Oreochromis niloticus: one gene and its partner. The protein of the gene in region 2 purifies or fractionates together with the protein of the main gene of each other region. This does not show direct contact. Links are inferred from orthologs where the notes say so. Each region holds a gene or a part of one and is shown on either strand. Other genes may lie near its edges.

Region 1 (8,423 bases), on a different chromosome or scaffold from region 2:
CTTGGCAAGGTTGGTCAGACTGCCGGCGTGGGAGATCAGACGCGCTCCAACCTGGAGATAAGAAAATCTGTTATGGCCCCTTTAAGCAAAAAACCACAATTTTGACACTGGATGCACAACACAGTATGAGGACCATCAGCACCGAATACATTTTTCATCAAACTGGCTCAGTGGATTGACAGATTTTGGTAGAACATCATTGGTCCGGGTTAAAAATAAAACTTAAAATAAAACTAAGACTCACCACTTCTCCAATCAAGGCTGCCAGGTTTGGAGCCACTTGGCTCATCTTAGAGCGCAGATACTCCTGCAGCTCCAGCCGGTAGGCAGCCAGAGACACGACACGACTCGAAAACCTCTCGATGTTAATCAGGTCAATGGGAGATATATCCATACCTGAAGACCAAACAACCAGAGGATGGATCAGCATTGTATCTTTAGCAGGTGCTGCATTTGTGACATTTTAAACCAGTACATGGCATGAAATGTGAGATTGTTTCTCCCGACAGGATCCGCAGTGAGGATGCATGCCTTCACTACAGGTTTATGAGAGAACTACTCTACCCCCCTGTGTTAGACACCAAGGACACTTGTAGTCCAGAGTGGGCAAAAAAGGGGCACAATGTGGAGTTGGGACTTAAGTCTCGAAGCGTAGAGTATGTGAATGAACCAGATTCAAAATATGGCATGAAGTGGATGAAATTATCTTTGACCCAAGCAGGATGTGTTTTTGTGAAATTATGCAGCACATACTCTGAATGTCCGGTGTACTCACCCATAGAGGAGCGTGATGCATCCAGGATGGCCTGAGCCTTGGCACTGTCCATCACCACCTCCTCTAAACTTTCTAGGCTCTCCTCTGACAACTCCTTCCTGTTTCCAATGAGCTGAGCCAGGCGGCAGTACATCGAGTTGTCGGACACAATTTTGATGAGCTCCGGAAAGTGGTAGCCATACCATTCACTGTAGATAAACAAGAGGTTGTTAAAACTTTGAGTGCAGGGTTTTTGGAGTAAGCATTTAAAGGCTGCACATTTACAAAAAAAACAAAAAAAACAACTATTATAAAACAAACCCAATAACCGAGGCTTTTATGCTCAAGCACAAAACAGAACTACCCATTAAGATGGCACAATTTTTAATTAAGTTCAAGACTGCTGAAAAATATCACTTTCAAAATTACAGCTTCTCTTTCTCTCAAGATATCCAATTCTATTCACAGAGTCCTGTATCGGTAGGACAAGCCTGGAGCTTTTAAGACTTGAATGCTACAGCTGACAATAACTGATGCCTAAATGTTCTAGATGATCTTGCACTCTGACAGTTTGCACCAGGACACTTCACACCAAAATGAATGCATGCGCCACGACACCCCAAACAGCTACAAGATGCTGAGCTAGTAAATATACATGATGTTCCACCCAACAGTGTTGCCTCACCAGATAGCAGCTGGCAGAGCAGAAGTGTTGGGAGTAACTGATCTACCTCCTGTTTCTATACAGTCAGCACTCTGAGGTGTGCTGTCTGTGGTAAGCATTAGGAGGATGCCCCAAAATGTACCCTGAACTACAAAAAGCCTGATGCAAATCTGTCACCAGAAAAGCCATAAAACTAGAGAAGAGATTAAAAGAGTAAAAGATGAACAGCATGAAAGGTTAACATGTTCCCTAAACTGTTTAATTTTATGCAAAAACCAGTCCTTTTACTGTGTGATGAAAATTTCCTACCGGACACGCATGGAGAAGGTGTTGATGTCTTTGTCCAGCTGATCCAACAGAGCAATGGACTGGATGATCATGTTATCTACCCTGTTGACATTAAACTTGACTTTAGCTCTGGAGTAGCTGTGGCCAAGACCCAACTGTGCCTTGGAGGCAGCCAGGGCAGTCAGACCTTTCACCAGAGAGTGGAAGTGCAGACGCAAACCTGACGGGACAGGACAGATTGAGAAGGTTTGCTGAGTGTTAAGAAGAACACGAACAGAAAAGTGCAGATCCAACGGCTGTTCAGATTTTCAGTATGAACCTTCATGAGTTTCAGGATCACAAGTTCACATCACAACAGTCCACATTATTATATAGACACAGTATCGTTTTGCATATTTTGTAATAACTCTCAGGTAAACATTCTCACCTCGTGTGATCTCAGCCACCACCCCTCCAGTTTGGATTGAACTGCTAAGTTCTTCTTGTAACGCTGCTCCAATCTTGGCATCAGAAACCCCCAACACTGATTTTTTCTTCCCAGACTGGGGCAGATTGGTCTCTAGGAACAGCTTCAGGTCAGCATGAACCATACCTTCAAGGGATGGAAGAATGTAATTACATCTGTAGACACGTGGTTGAGATGGAAAGGCATCTAAAAGATACGACACTGACTATTGTGATATTATCATATTAAAGCCCGATAATTTGCCATCATGCAATCTTGCCATCTCAGAACAAATTGAACATAATTAAAGTAGTCTCATTAACAATTATTACAGATAAAAGAACAAATCAAAATCTACAATTTCGGCTGTCCATGTAAAGTCTTTCCTCAGGTGTTCAGGGTTGATATGAAACTGTCAGCACAAGAACTCAGTGGATTGACAGATTATAAAACATCATTACAGCTGAGGACTTTTCCACACAAGATTGATAAAGAGAAAAATGATAATCATACATACCTTCAGAGATGGCGTTCATGTTCTCCAGGGCGGCCTGGGCCGACTTGAAGGGGAAGAAGGCGGCTAAGCTCACCATGCTGTTAAACTTTCCGAGGCTCAGCACGCTCGCCTCCACCTGACACGACACAAAAGCACAATTATCAGTGCTCTGCTTAAAGAGCACACAAAACAGATAGTACACAGGAGTTAGGGAAGAGGACGCACCTGGGGCAGCAGCATGCCGATCTCCTCCACTTCTTTGACGGCGAACAGCGCATAGCCCGCCGCGTGCTCGAACAACACGTGCAGCAACACCTAGGGAAGGTGAACGTGCACGATCGAGTTAGACGACAGACGTAAACAGGTAACACTTGCAGCCAGCAGAAACTGAAAGGTGTTTCTAAAACTACGTTCAGATCAAGTGTTTACTAGTCCCCACGTGCTGACCAGCGAGACACGAGCTAACTTCACTTTCGATTAATTCCTAAAATAAGATTGCAATTTTAGGCATAAATGTGCAGTAGCTTTTTCAAAAGTGTTTTCCCACTTCAGGTTTAGCTACCACTGCTTTGTCGTAACTTTCACACGTAACCACGTTGCAGTCTCGATGAACCCACGTGTCGACCTAGGCCTGCGTATAACGTGCTTGCTAAGAGCTAGCTTGTGCTAACACGGCCCCTAGAAAAGTACAATACCTGCTACAGCACTGTCAATATCAGTGCTTCTGGCACGACTGCGACTAACACAGCTGGACACATCATTTGTCACTTTAAGCCTTTAAAGTAAAATATATATTTTCCCGCTAATGTCAGCACTAGCGGAACTGCTCCCCAAATGTCGGAGGGCCTTTAGCTCGACAGAAGTGAACTAAATCTAACTAGACATTTATACTCTTAAAACGCAACTAACTGCAAAAAAACTTAAAGTGTAAAGTTTAACGAACAATTTGCAGTCATGCCAACATATCCAACCCCGCTCAGCTTACCATGATTGGAAAATCTGCGGCAGCACGCAATTCGTGTCTGCTGTGCTGCTTCACCTCAGCAAAAAGACTGCGTCCACGCGTTTCAGCAAACAGCAGCACCGCCCCAAATCCCGCGGTAGCAGCTCTGACATCGCGAGACCCGACCGAGAAAGCTTCAATATGCGTCCTTTCCCCAATTTCCTATGCTGAAGAAACAAATATTAAAATATAAGGTTCGTGCTCTTATATATGTTCTCATCTAACTGTGGGTAAACGCGTCCCAAAATATTTTTTGTTTTTTTTTTCTGAAGCAGTGTATTTACAGTTCACACACTGAGAAAAGGTCGGAGGGGGCAAAACAGACGAAAACAATAAAGTGTTTGGGCCACGTGTATTTGTTGGTAGAGAAATGTTTTAAATATCTATAGCCAGGGACTGCAGTTTAAAAAAAAATACAGACTACCACATCTGCAGACTACCACAGTGGATTCCAAGTCTTACACTTAATATGCGATTTTGAAGTCCAGGCGTTCAGTTTTAATTAGAGGCGCTTAACAAAAGCATTACATTAACTGTTTAGGAGTTAAAGTAATTTGTATACAGTGTCCACCCAGATTAAAAACTAACTGCACAAAGTAGGATTATTTTAAATAAGAATGATTTATTTTTAATTGAAGGAAAATCCTATCCTGAAGTCTGTAAACCATAAATATCACCACATGCTTTTTTCTTCCTTGAGATGCTCTGTTATGCTGGCACTGTTGCCACTTTGGTTGATGCTTGTATGTGGGTCTTTCTGGATTGAGGTTTGTGTTTAATTACTAAACAAAATGCTATATTAGGTTGGGATCAGATAAATAGGCAATTGAAGAATATCCCATTTCATTGCCATGGCTCGCTCGCTGGTTGCTTTTGCATTATCGCTCGGGTCATTATACATTTGCACTGTGAAGTGCTGACTAATCAGTTTTGCAGTATTTGGCTGAATATGAACAGAATACCAGCCTGTGCACTTCAGAATTACGTCTTTAATCATCATTAGCTATTTCTCTCCATATTTTTCTCTTCTTGTCATTGTGGTATTTATTTATTTATTAATTAGTCAACATTTACAACACTTACTCAACTTTGCAGGTTCTTTATATGTTTTATGGCATTGCTCTTGAGTGTACCTAGTGGTTTGCACGTTATTTTCATCCATGAACACCTCTCTTGATCATAGACTTGTTACAATGACATGGTTACCGCATCTAACCAAGTCAAGTGTTTTTGTGAATGTTTTTTTTTAACTCCTTCAATTGCATCAACATTTCTTTGGACCTCTTATTGAGATTAACTGTCAAAAGCACTTGAATTAACACCAAATGTTTCCAGCTGCTTTATTTGTCATGAAACAAGGGAGCAGAAAATTGCTTGTTAGAGGACTGTCCAGTTACCTTTGATCCTTTGAAAATGGGGGACTTTAGATAACAATGACTGTAATTCCAAAAAAGTTATTGCAATGCATCCCCTGAATTTGCTGGCCCCCCACAGCTTCTGCTCAGCTCTGCTGAGAATCATTAGTGAAGGTTGGAATCAATCGATCAATCAGTCAATCAAAACAAATTATTGTGGATTTCAAAATGGGTTTCATATGTACGTATTTTCAATGATATCAACTTTAATGGCAGGAAATTAACTGGGTTAATTATTTTCTTTCTCTCTTTTTTGCCATAATTTTCAAGTAACCTATATTTGACAACAGCATAATAAAACTAGAAAATTCTGTTTTTGAGGTGACACCCCAACATTTTTAGTGGCCCCCACATGGCTAACCCTATGAAAAAATTCTGGAGGCGCCCTTGGGCTCAGTCTGAATTCACAGACAGCAAAGCTGGCTTGAAGAAAGGCTGTAAAATGATGTGTTTCAGAAGATGAATAAAGATTATTTTTTAATTGTGACTCCAAGAGTCCAAGAGTAAAAACATGGCATTGGAAGTGAGATTTTCCCCCTTTAAAGGGAAAATCCCAAATTCAGTACCCAGTGATTGATGTCTTGAAACATTTGCTGTGGTGTTTGATTCTGTATGCCAAAGTTTAAAATGTAGATTTGAATATATACAGCATGGTTTATTTTAAACTGTTTATACATATTCTTTACTAGTATTATAATATAAAGGTTATACAATTTCCATAATTTATCCTGAAGCCTCTAAATCCCTAAATGTTACTTTAAAATACATACTCTAGGTGTTAGAAAAATGTAGCAGTCACCTGTGTGTCATAGTGCTTGTGTAATATAAAGTGCTAGAGAAGACATACAGAGCTCCATCTATGCACCTAAAATGTAATAAACCACACAGAACAATAGCAATGCTTGTAATTAAACACTCTTGCTGAGTATTCTGACAACAAAATAAAAATAAATTGCAGTAACATTTCGCCACCGTGCAGGAAATAAGTCATGAGGTTTCCAAGGCACAGATGCATGTGGGTCTGTATGTGCGCGAACACAAATTAGTAGCAGGTCATAAATGTCAGAATGTGTTAGATAATTACTTGGAGCCGAGGATATATGACTGACTTCTTTGAAAAGACTGTCGTAATTGTTTTTCCCCCGCTTCTATATTTAACTCAGTGACCCAAACGAAAGTCACGTAAAAATTGAACTTTACTTTTCAGTTTGCAGTTTGTCTTTTGTAGGATGTGTTATGAATACATGAGTTAATTCTACTTCCTAAAGTGAGTAAAAATAAATGAGGAAATGACTGCTTTGATTTTTTTTAAAACTGCACAGTATACATTCATCTTATAATTTATACGTACCAGTGAAGATTAGGTGAGTATACTAACCTAATAAAAAAATAAAAAAATGAGCCAGCCGTTCCTGAGTAATATTTGTGTTTCCAGGACTATGCTTGAAGGAGCTTGTTGAGGAGCGGATGTGAGGGAGGACAGTAAAAAGCTTAGGGATCAGGAGAGGGCTTGATATAAAGGCTGACAGCAACAAGCTGACACTCAGACCACTGGAGCTCTGCTCATTTTAAAGCACACTTCCTCAAGCAACTAACCAACGCTGACACAGCATGTGAGTAACTCATGGCTTCTTGTGCTTCTGTCTCTCTCTGCCTCTAGGTCTTTCTCATTTCTCTTTCTCTTTGATGTTCTGTTTTCATCTACTCACATTTGTGCACAGACCTGTCTTGCTGGTTGTAAATATGGTTCCAACCTCTTATCTATCTTGCCTCTGGAGGAGTTTGTTGTTCTGCCCCCCCCCCCATCTCTAATGTATTTCCCAAACTCTGTATTACATAAGCACGAGATTCCTTGTGTTTCTTTGTCCGCTCTCGGTTACATGCTGCATGTCATGCCAGATGTCGACCACTGCAAAATAGAGTCGCTTGGCCACCTTCAGACTGTATTGTGTGTGAACTTTCTGCTCTGTATGTACCAATGTGTATGTTTCTAGGGGACAGAGCAAAATGAGCATGCGTGGAGCAGTGGCTGGTTGCGTGGTGCTGGTGTGCCTGATGGCGCTGCTGGTTCAGAGGACGGAGGGACACATCACGTTCTTTAGCCCAAAAGAGTTGATGCTGATGAAGGTAAGCAGCTTGTGTGTACAACTAGGGCTAAACTAGAGCTTAATGAATTGGTCAGTCCAGACCACAAAATCAGTCACGATTTTCAGTCATGAATCAGCCGTTTAGCTCATTGGTGTTTGATCCCAAACTTTTCTGAAGGTTAGGATTAGTTCCTTTTACATACTGGTAAACTGATTACTGTTGTTCCTGAAAAACCAAAAGGTTCTGTGAAATAATTGATAATATTGTGGGATATTGCCTACAGATTCGATTTTGTAATGTAGCTGTCAATAGAAAATTGTAGTCAGTATAATCTTTTAATAATATAAGTTTGCATATGATAGAATACTGCATGATGACCTCTTTATAACTCAGACTGTTTTGATTCACTGTGACCCGTTATCATGCAGGGAAGGAGCAGTACCTGCTAGATAAGAGCTTAATAAGCAGTTTCACTTTGTACCAGGTAGAGGAGCCTCTCCTGGCACACGCATACGCACACACACACGCGCGCACACACAGACACACACATATCCGCACATGCTCATGCATCAACATTCCACTGAACAAACGTATTACTCTTCTTGTGTATAAATAAAGACCAGGGCAGTGGCAGAGCGCGAGTCTCGGAGCCCTCACTCCAAGTGTGAGTGCTCTTTGGCTGCCCTTGCATGCAAGTAAAACTTTGTGTTTCTCCTCTCTGATTCTCAGCTGAAGAAGTGTCTTAGAGTACATCTCTTGACAGTAGCAAATAAAGAATTGGCCTATTAAGTTATTGTTGTTGTTTTTTTTCTAGCAAATAACAGAGTAAGTACAGTCTATTTATGTAATGCTTTTAGTGACAAAAGTCACAAAGGATGTACAACATTTAAAAGTTAAAATTAAAATGAATAGAGAAGCATATTAAAACAGAATAAAAATAGATAAAAGCATAAATAACTAAAGAATGTCAACAAAAGGCCTCATTAAACAGAAAGTTTTTACCTGTTTTTAAAGGAATCCACAGAGTTGGGTAAACAGAGCTGGAGTGGTAAACTCTTCAAGAGCTTTAGTGCCACAGGCTGAAATGGGAATTTTAAAACAAATTCTCGACTCAACTGGACACCAACATAAAGAGAATAAAATTTGGGTAATGCGAGCTCGCTTGCAGATGTGAAAGAGATGGTTTATCTAAGCCGGTAAATAAGGTGTTACAATAATCTAGGTGTGATGACACAAATGCATGAACAATTTTCTTTAGTTCAAAGGTGTG
Region 2 (8,136 bases):
GCCAGTGACAGAGAGGTGAAGCCATCAGTCAGCTATTACGTGCTACCAAAAGCAGACTGTGACACACCCCGAGTCAAATTAAAAGTAATTGCAGGCCACCAGAACCCTTCCACAGACTCATCAAATAGACCCAAGACAGAGACTGTTCCTTAAAGGCTCTAAACATCAGGTGGGTTTGAGCTTTTAGGGAGGGTTGAAAATGCACCATTGCAAATGAAAGGATGCATTTGGTAGTGAACACTTGGAAGCCAAATTCATAACTGAGATTAATGTCCAAATCATTTCCTAGCTCTGGATCAACAATTACGCCACAAAAAAGGCAACAAGTGGCAGCTGTACAAAAAACAGAAATCACAAGCTGTGGGAGAAGCCTGATCTCACTTCCTGAAGGTAGATAAATCATACAATGCCAGTAAAAATGAGATGCTTCTCTCTACTGCAGCGTGTTTAAAGGATTTTTAAAATTACATAACACAATCCGATGCACGTGTAACATCTTTCTTTTATACAGGCCACTGGCCTCTTTCATATTTTTCCTGCCTTGAAAAACTAAAAAAGAAGCTAATTTTAATTACTGTATATACCGATGAATCTATCAGCATTATTTATCACTAGATTTATCTTTCATTAACCTAAACCTGAAAATTTAACATATTTTTATTTAGCGTTTCTATAGCCAAATAGCAGAAAATGTAGATTTTATGTCAGAGGTACATTCTCTCAGGTCTCTCTCATTCCGTTTCTGTCTGTCTGACTCACTTTGCTCGAGTGAGGTCAGCAGCTGTGACTCCACCGTCAGCAACAGCCTTCACCTGGGCAAGAGCAGCCTTGATCACCTGCAGGGAAGAGTGAAACAGTGCTCTCAATAGCAGTTTCATTTGGGGGGAAAAGAAAAAAAAAATTGATTTTCAAGACTAGGGGGCATACTCACATCACCAGCAGCTGCAGCCTGAGAGATGGTGTAGACCCCAAACAGGCCAGAGTCAGAGTAGCTTGTATTGAAAGCAGTGACCTGGTGTGGGAGACAAAGACTGAATTAGAATAAAGCTGGATTGTGTTTTTGTGGTTAATGTGCAGACACACTGCTCTGTAGGCGTATGGCTTATTTACAATTTATCTTACAAAACTGAAAGGCACTCACATCAAAGGGGTCTGCTGTTGCCTTGGAAACACCCTGGACCAGTTTACTGGCGACGCCTGCTCCTCTCTTGACGTGCGGCCCAGCTCCCAGTAAATGCTGCAGCACACTGAAGGCCAGAGCCTCGCTGGTGCCTGCTGCTGCTGACTGGCTCACCACGGCTGAATGGACCAGACTGCTGGTGCTGGGCAGGCGAATCTCACCTGGAAAGAGGCACGAGGTCATGAGACAGGGAAGTCTGCAAGGTCGATCAATTTCTCAGGTTGGAATCATTCATTCAAAATTTGCTTAAATCCTTTATTTTTTCTTTTCCTTCCCCCTCTCAGCCAGCTCGCCTCACCTCCACGATACTGTGCCTTAGCCCCCGTGGTGCCGGCTCCACTGCGGATGTTGAGGAACTGCTCTCCCACTTGCTTCAGCACAGTGTGGTCAACGCCTAGTAGAAAGGTAAGCATTGTTATCGTTTATCAGAAATCTGGCTACTTCTTTCTTTATATGGAAAATACTTTAAACCCTAACACTTACCAAGTCCAACAAGGGCCATTCTTGCACTGGTGAAATTGTTCTGGACAAACTGGTGCAGCTGGAGAAAAATGCAAACATTGCAATAATTCATAATTGTTTTAGTTTGTATGTTTTGTACTCATAATATACAAACAGAAATATATACTCACATGCTCAGAGTGGATGTTGTTGATCATGTGGTCTGGGCAGTACAAGGAGTTACACAGGGCGTTCTTGTAGGCAGCTTCATGCAGACCTTCAACCACACCTAAAAAAGATGGATGGGTGACTGTTAGCTGCAACGCACTCATGGTGAAGAAAAAACAGAGAGAACATTACTGTCCCTATATGACAGTTTGGTATCTAGGCTCTACAGGCTAATTATTGATTAATCGAACAACCCAGAAGCTTTTTAAAATATTAATCAGGCTCAAAGGTGGGAATATGAATTAAGTAGTTCTATAATAAAACAACAGATCCCTTAAAAATCTTTCAAAAAAACTGAGTGTTGTAAGAGAAACAAAGGGCCCACCTATCTGGGCGCTCTGTGCAGCTTGTGCCTTGTCCACCTTTACTTTTGGGGTGAGGTCTGACACCTCCCACGGACGGAATTCGGGGGCTGTTGTCACATTGATCAAATACTCCATCACTGTGTCACTAGAGACCAATAATAGAGGAAGGGGGGGAAAAGAAAGTTATCACTCCTGCAACATCACATCTCAGAGCATTCATATGTTCCAGTGAATGTAGTCATTTCACCAAAATATGGAAAAGTGTGTAAACAGAAAGAGACAAAGTTCTTTAAGTATCTCCTAGTACTTTAAACATTTTCATTACGTTATTATTATTATTGCTCAATCATCAACACACTCATCACACACAAAGGTGACATGCAGAGACTCACACGTCATCTCTTAAGCAGTCGACGGTGTAGGTCATATTCTCTCTGGATGAAGTCACGCTGCACAGGAATACACAGATATGCAAATTAGACACCTAAAAATAATTAAATGACTGTTTACAAGAAAAACCTTTTATTTGTTTTTGGCTAAGTTACTGACCTTAGACTGCCTCCCACTGCCTCAATACCACGGCATATCTTGAAAGCTGAAGCTCCCTTGGTTGTCTGAAAAGGCAGAAAAGTTAAGTAACATGTCGACTGAAATGCGGCAATGTTACACACCGTTACAAAAGTAGTGATCTTAAGCTCCATTTATTAACAACAGTTGTGCAGGCTTTTTAATATGTAAACACTGTTATATTTCTAATCAAAATAAGATTTTTGCCTAAAACTGAATAAAGATTTGGTTTGTATTCTGGTGCATCTGCAGCTTTACTCATTTCTGTCTTTCAACAACACCAAAGGACCAAGGTTGATGAGGACAATGCTTACTTCAAGTTAAATGTTATTATTATTTTTTTTTAAGTTACATACCAGACCGGAGGCCAGCCGGAGGAGGTGGGTGACGCCCTGGTTTTCAGGGGTTTCATAGCGACAGCCAGCCTTGATGAAGACTCCAATTTTGGAGGCTGGAGAATAGTTCTCCAGTGAAGCGATCACCAGCCCGCTGGGCAGCCTGGTCACCTGGAGACATATAGAGATGTCCTTTAGCGTTGTTAGTACCCTGAGTTATAGGCAGTGATTCAGTTAACTGGTTTCCTTGGCTTTTATTTATACAGCTCAGACAATGTGGGCATTTAGTTAGATTACTTAATATTTTATATTCAGCAAGGTGAAAAAAAACAGATAAAGCTTAAAACATAACCAATATATACTACAATTCTCATCACTGCCCGACATACGTGGACATCCTGGTAGGAATGGCCAACTCTGGGAGAGAGGCTGAGGCCAGCCAGGGGCTGAGCAAGGGACTGGTCTTTTCTGGCAGCCGCATAGAAGCGTTTCTGCAGAGAAGAAAAAGAAGTCAATAACCACTGACCTGAACATCCTGTGGATGAAACCCAGTGACCTCCACCTTACGGGCAGCCTGGGCTGCATAAAACCTTGTCTGGGGAAAAGAAAAACAAAGAACACAGGAAGGCAGGACATTACAACTAATGTTTTGCTGGCCTGTTGGCTGATATGAGCACGAACTTTAAAATAATGGGATCAATGGCATTAGTAGGGCAGCCTGTACTAAAAGAACTGAATGTTGTGACTAAATATGAAGCTAGAATTATACAGGTGAAAAAATAATCTTATGACAAGGCCCACTTAAGTCTCTGTTCTGCATTTTGTTTAAGCATATCACCAGGTTTAAATCTGCAGGTCAATTTTTCCAAATTATCTTTGAAAGTATCAAGGATTTGTAAGATTGTAATGTACTCTGAAGTGTAATAACAACCTCTATATGGGTCTTGGTGTCTTCCAACAGAATGATGCCAAACAACATTACTACCCTTTAACGACAAATGTGAAAAAGTAAGAACATCTTTTTAAAACTAGCTACAATCTACCATTTCAGGCTGCCAGGGTTCTCACTCAGTAAACACACATAAGTATTGATGTTTACTGCTAAATCCAAACTGCAATAATTGCACAATATTGCAGATAAGAAAGGGGAAGATATAATTAGATAGTAAAATGGAAATGTAAGTTAAGCAACTCGACGGCTAGGTCCTTCATAAACACGAACCTAGCTAGCTCTCATCGCTCAGACGTCAACTAGTTTGATTTCTCTAAGCCTTACTTGAATTAACGGAATAGACAGTATTAAGCTGGGTGTACAACGACTTAAAATCCGCGGTGTTCGTGATGTAACTAGCAGGTTATTGCTGGTTATGCTCGGAGTCATTCATGACAAGACCTAGCTGACTGCTTCCTCGTCTGCTCCTCATCACAGCCTGCCCGGACACGACCCGGAATTTAGACACCGTCTAACAAACACAGCCCACAACTCGGTGTACAAATGTTCCGACACACAGACACGTAGGACACATTGCCCGAGTCCTCACCGATAGCTGACTGATTCCCCGAATCCCCTTCATCGCCCCTCTTGCCTTGGGTCAGGACGATGAAGCAATATGGCTGGCTTCAAAGTGCCCTACCCAGAATCCTCAGCGCTTTCTTCGCTTGTAAACGGTGCGTCTGCCTAGCCAGTGACCGCGCGCCCTCTGCTGCCCTGGAGATGAGAGAAAATAATAAAATAAAATAAAATAAAATAAAATAAAATAAAATAAAATAAAATAAAATAAAATAAAATATTTTTTCATTGGACCAGACAGAGCCAGCTGGATGGTTTGCACCGAAGTTATGAAATGCACTGATATGAATATTATTATAAATACAAAGAGGTGTATGTAATATCGGTATGTAAATGACAAGGAATGTGTTTAGAGATGGTTTGCACATGCGCACAGGAGGGATAGGGGATGCTGAAATGATGTAAAAGGATGTTGAATATGGAGCTGCCAGGCAGGAGGATAAAATGAAAACCACAGAGGATGTTCATGGATGTAGTGAAGAAGCACACGCGGAGGGTTGCTGTGAAAGAAAAGAATGCTGCCAGGTTAAACTATTTTGGCACAGGGCAGATGTGCTGAACTCTGAAGGGAGCAGGTGAAGGGAAAATAAATAATTTCCGTGTATTTATTTTAAAACGTATTTGTTTTTCAATAAAAAAAAATGTCACCCCTTTCCAGGTCGTCTTTTATTTGGTAAAAAAAATGAAAGTGACTTGTTTCGTTGTATTTTCACATTTATTAACAATTTTTTTCTCCCAAAGCATTTCCTGTGATTTCGCCAGCGTTGCCAGTGCGCATGCGCCTCACACCACACGTGTGGCAAACGTTTGGAGTCGTTGCATGCGACGGAGCTTAGAGAGTTGTACCGCTATAAAATACATCACAGGTTATCGCATCTTGCATCGTGTCGTCAATCTTTCAGAAGCCAGTCGAATTAAAATAGTCCTCCGTGAAGCATTTCGCCGAGAGGGCCGGAATAGCACAAAAACACCATGGTGAGTGTCTTCTCAAACGAACAAGCTAACAGAGTAGCTAGCTAGCTACCATCGAGCATAGTAAATTAAGTGTAGAATTCAGTAGAAGTGACCAGAAACAGTGCTGGTGACTTTTTTTTTTTCGTTAACTGGTTTCTCTTGGCTAACATGGAGTTACTTTGTTTCTGTGTGGTGAACAGACTGAAGCACAAGTGAACCCAAAGGCCTACCCGCTGGCCGACGCCACGCTGACCAAAACTATCCTGGATCTGGTGCAGCAAGCCTCAAACTACAAGCAACTGAGGAAGGGAGCCAACGAAGGTGGGTAAACACAACGTGCCGTGCGACACAGTCGGTGCAAATGAATATTTAATTTGTTAATGAACGGATTTGAGTGGCCAGGTGACACCAGCATGTTTGAAACGTGGTTTCTCTTCACTTAAAACAACTAGCTTTAGTCACAAGCCTCTGATTTCTGCATGAATGGGATGTCTGCGAGAAGGAAAATAACTTTTAGTATTGTTTATACAGATAATTGTTAACTTACACCATAGCTGTGTCTTCCTGTGGAGGCTAATGATTAGTCAATGTCGAGTGTATTTATTATATGAATTACTAAGTGCTTGTGAAAAATGTGTTAAACAGACACTTGTATTTTTGTTTTGGGCCACATCAAGAATAACGGTGCTGCAGTAATGAAGGGCACTTTTTTGTGTAACCTGTAATATGCTGAGCATTGTTTTTGTGTTTCCAAGAACAAACTTGCTGTATTTAAGGTGTTCTCTTTCTTCCCCAGCCACTAAAACCCTGAACAGAGGCATCGCTGAGTTTATCGTGATGGCTGCCGATGCGGAACCACTGGAGATCATCCTCCACCTGCCGCTGCTGTGCGAGGACAAGAATGTCCCCTACGTGTTTGTCCGCTCCAAGCAGGCCTTGGGCCGGGCCTGTGGGGTGTCGCGCCCCGTTATCGCTACCTCAGTCACTATAAAAGAGGGGTCTCAGCTCAAGCCACAGATCCAGTCTGTTCAAATGGCCATTGAGAGACTGCTTGTGTGATTTTTCTTTCACTGACAAAAACTCCTTGAGGGGAAAAAACCGTTTTAAATAGTCCCGTCCTTTGTTTGATTAAACATGAGGGGGAAAAATCATGTTTAATTGTTTTTGTTTTGTTTCTTGCTTTTTGGGGACTGATGTTTCTCATCAGGAGTTTGTAGTAGCCCTGCTCACTTATTAATAAAATAATTCTTTTTGTTATTTCTTAAAACCTGGTCTTGTTTTCATTTTTTCTTTTTTCTTTTTTTTCAAGATGAGTTCAAACAAAGTGATTCCCAAATGGTTAGTAACAGAAAACTGGGCATATCTTTGCATGGTCTGATGTGTGTCAGGCTTAAAAAAAATAGCAAATGAGCACTATCTGAAAATCATGTCCTTGAGAGACCTGATTGATGCATCTATTCTTCACTGAATCCAGGTTACAGAAGGTTACAGAAGCACTGGGCTGGAAATCAGTGGCAAACCGGTCATATTTAGTGATGACTTTGAAATGTTTGGTTCAAACTGTCTTCAGTATGGCAGAAGTCAAGCAGCCTTGAGAACTATTCTCGAAGACTACTTAAAGAAATGACAGGCAAACTATCCTTGAAAGAATAAATGTGGTCATACCAAACACTGACCTAACAAACTGTTTTTGCTGTATATGCTGTAATTCTGTATATGTTTGCATGTGTTTTTGTTTTTTCTGGCTCAAAACCTTTGTACAGTACTGTATAAAACACGTTCTTACACTGATCACTACATCAAAATGTTAATTACAATTTTCTTTTCTTTTTTGTTTGCATCGGGATAAATAATCAGTCGGGAAACAATCTCAAAAGCACGAATGTAAATTGTCAATTAAAAGTAATGAATTCATAATTCCGAATTTCTAAGTAGAGTCATACAAATACTAACAGCTGTGAAAGTCAAAGGACTTCCAAACCTTCTAGGGGCCGTGAAAGCAGCATGTAGCTGGCCCCGTTAGTGGTTATAATCTGAAGACAGGACATTGTTTCACAATCGTTTGCGTAGAAAGTGCAACACTTAAACACTGATTAAGTGGGTATCAACCTGAGATTGGCTTGTTTGAATACTTTCTCCCCTTAAACTGGTGCCAAAGCACAGACTACGGGAACCTGGCGCTTGGAAAGCGCAGTGGATTAGACAGCCTTCTCTGTGCGGCCCGCCTCTCTCCGCGCAATGTGTTTAAAAAAGCTTTACCGCGGCTCTTGAACGCAGCTCAAATCCCGCTCGCTGTTGACTCAAACTTTGTACCAAACCAGTTAAGTCAGTTACGCATCAGCGTCTCAGAAGCAGCAGCCATGGCTGGAGCTCCTCCTGTTATCATATGGGAGCGTGAAGTTGAGAGCCTGTTGCATTACAAAGAGCTGATCCCCCGTCTGGAGGAGGCTTTAGGTAAGTTCTCCAGCCGGGACAGCGTGGAGGTTATCCAGCCTGTGCGCTCCACGGTGCCCCTGCAGAAACACAACGGGTAAGGCCCTCCGTCTGCTTCAAGAG

What was found.
Region 1: the proteins of NHP2-like protein 1 (region 2) and nop56 fractionate together in Homo sapiens (co-fractionation; 3 studies listed by BioGRID, with this or other methods). This does not show direct contact. The link is inferred for Oreochromis niloticus from reciprocal best matches to the Homo sapiens genes SNU13 and NOP56.

What each region holds. Positions count from the first base shown.
Region 1 is NC_031970.2:28,334,565-28,342,987, reverse strand, and holds the start of nop56 (nucleolar protein 56), read right to left. Parts: upstream 3,759-8,423; 5' UTR 3,636-3,758; coding exon 3,633-3,635; intron 2,963-3,632; coding exon 2,873-2,962; intron 2,784-2,872; coding exon 2,669-2,783; intron 2,299-2,668; coding exon 2,134-2,298; intron 1,927-2,133; coding exon 1,728-1,926; intron 1,547-1,727; exon of another isoform or gene 1,411-1,546; intron 964-1,410; coding exon 776-963; intron 611-775; exon of another isoform or gene 492-610; intron 397-491; coding exon 245-396; intron 52-244; coding exon 1-51. UniProt on the Homo sapiens protein: Involved in the early to middle stages of 60S ribosomal subunit biogenesis. Required for the biogenesis of box C/D snoRNAs such U3, U8 and U14 snoRNAs. Part of the small subunit (SSU) processome, first precursor of the small eukaryotic ribosomal subunit.
Region 2 is NC_031973.2:20,519,290-20,527,425, forward strand, and holds NHP2-like protein 1, read left to right. Parts: upstream 1-5,370; 5' UTR 5,371-5,598; coding exon 5,599-5,601; intron 5,602-5,780; coding exon 5,781-5,901; intron 5,902-6,376; coding exon 6,377-6,639; 3' UTR 6,640-6,847; downstream 6,848-8,136. Other genes in the region: uqcrc2b (cytochrome b-c1 complex subunit 2, mitochondrial), read right to left, coding at 760-836, 932-1,012, 1,142-1,341, 1,479-1,574, 1,664-1,721, 1,813-1,910, 2,175-2,299, 2,547-2,603 and 4 more; crym (ketimine reductase mu-crystallin), read left to right, coding at 7,941-8,110.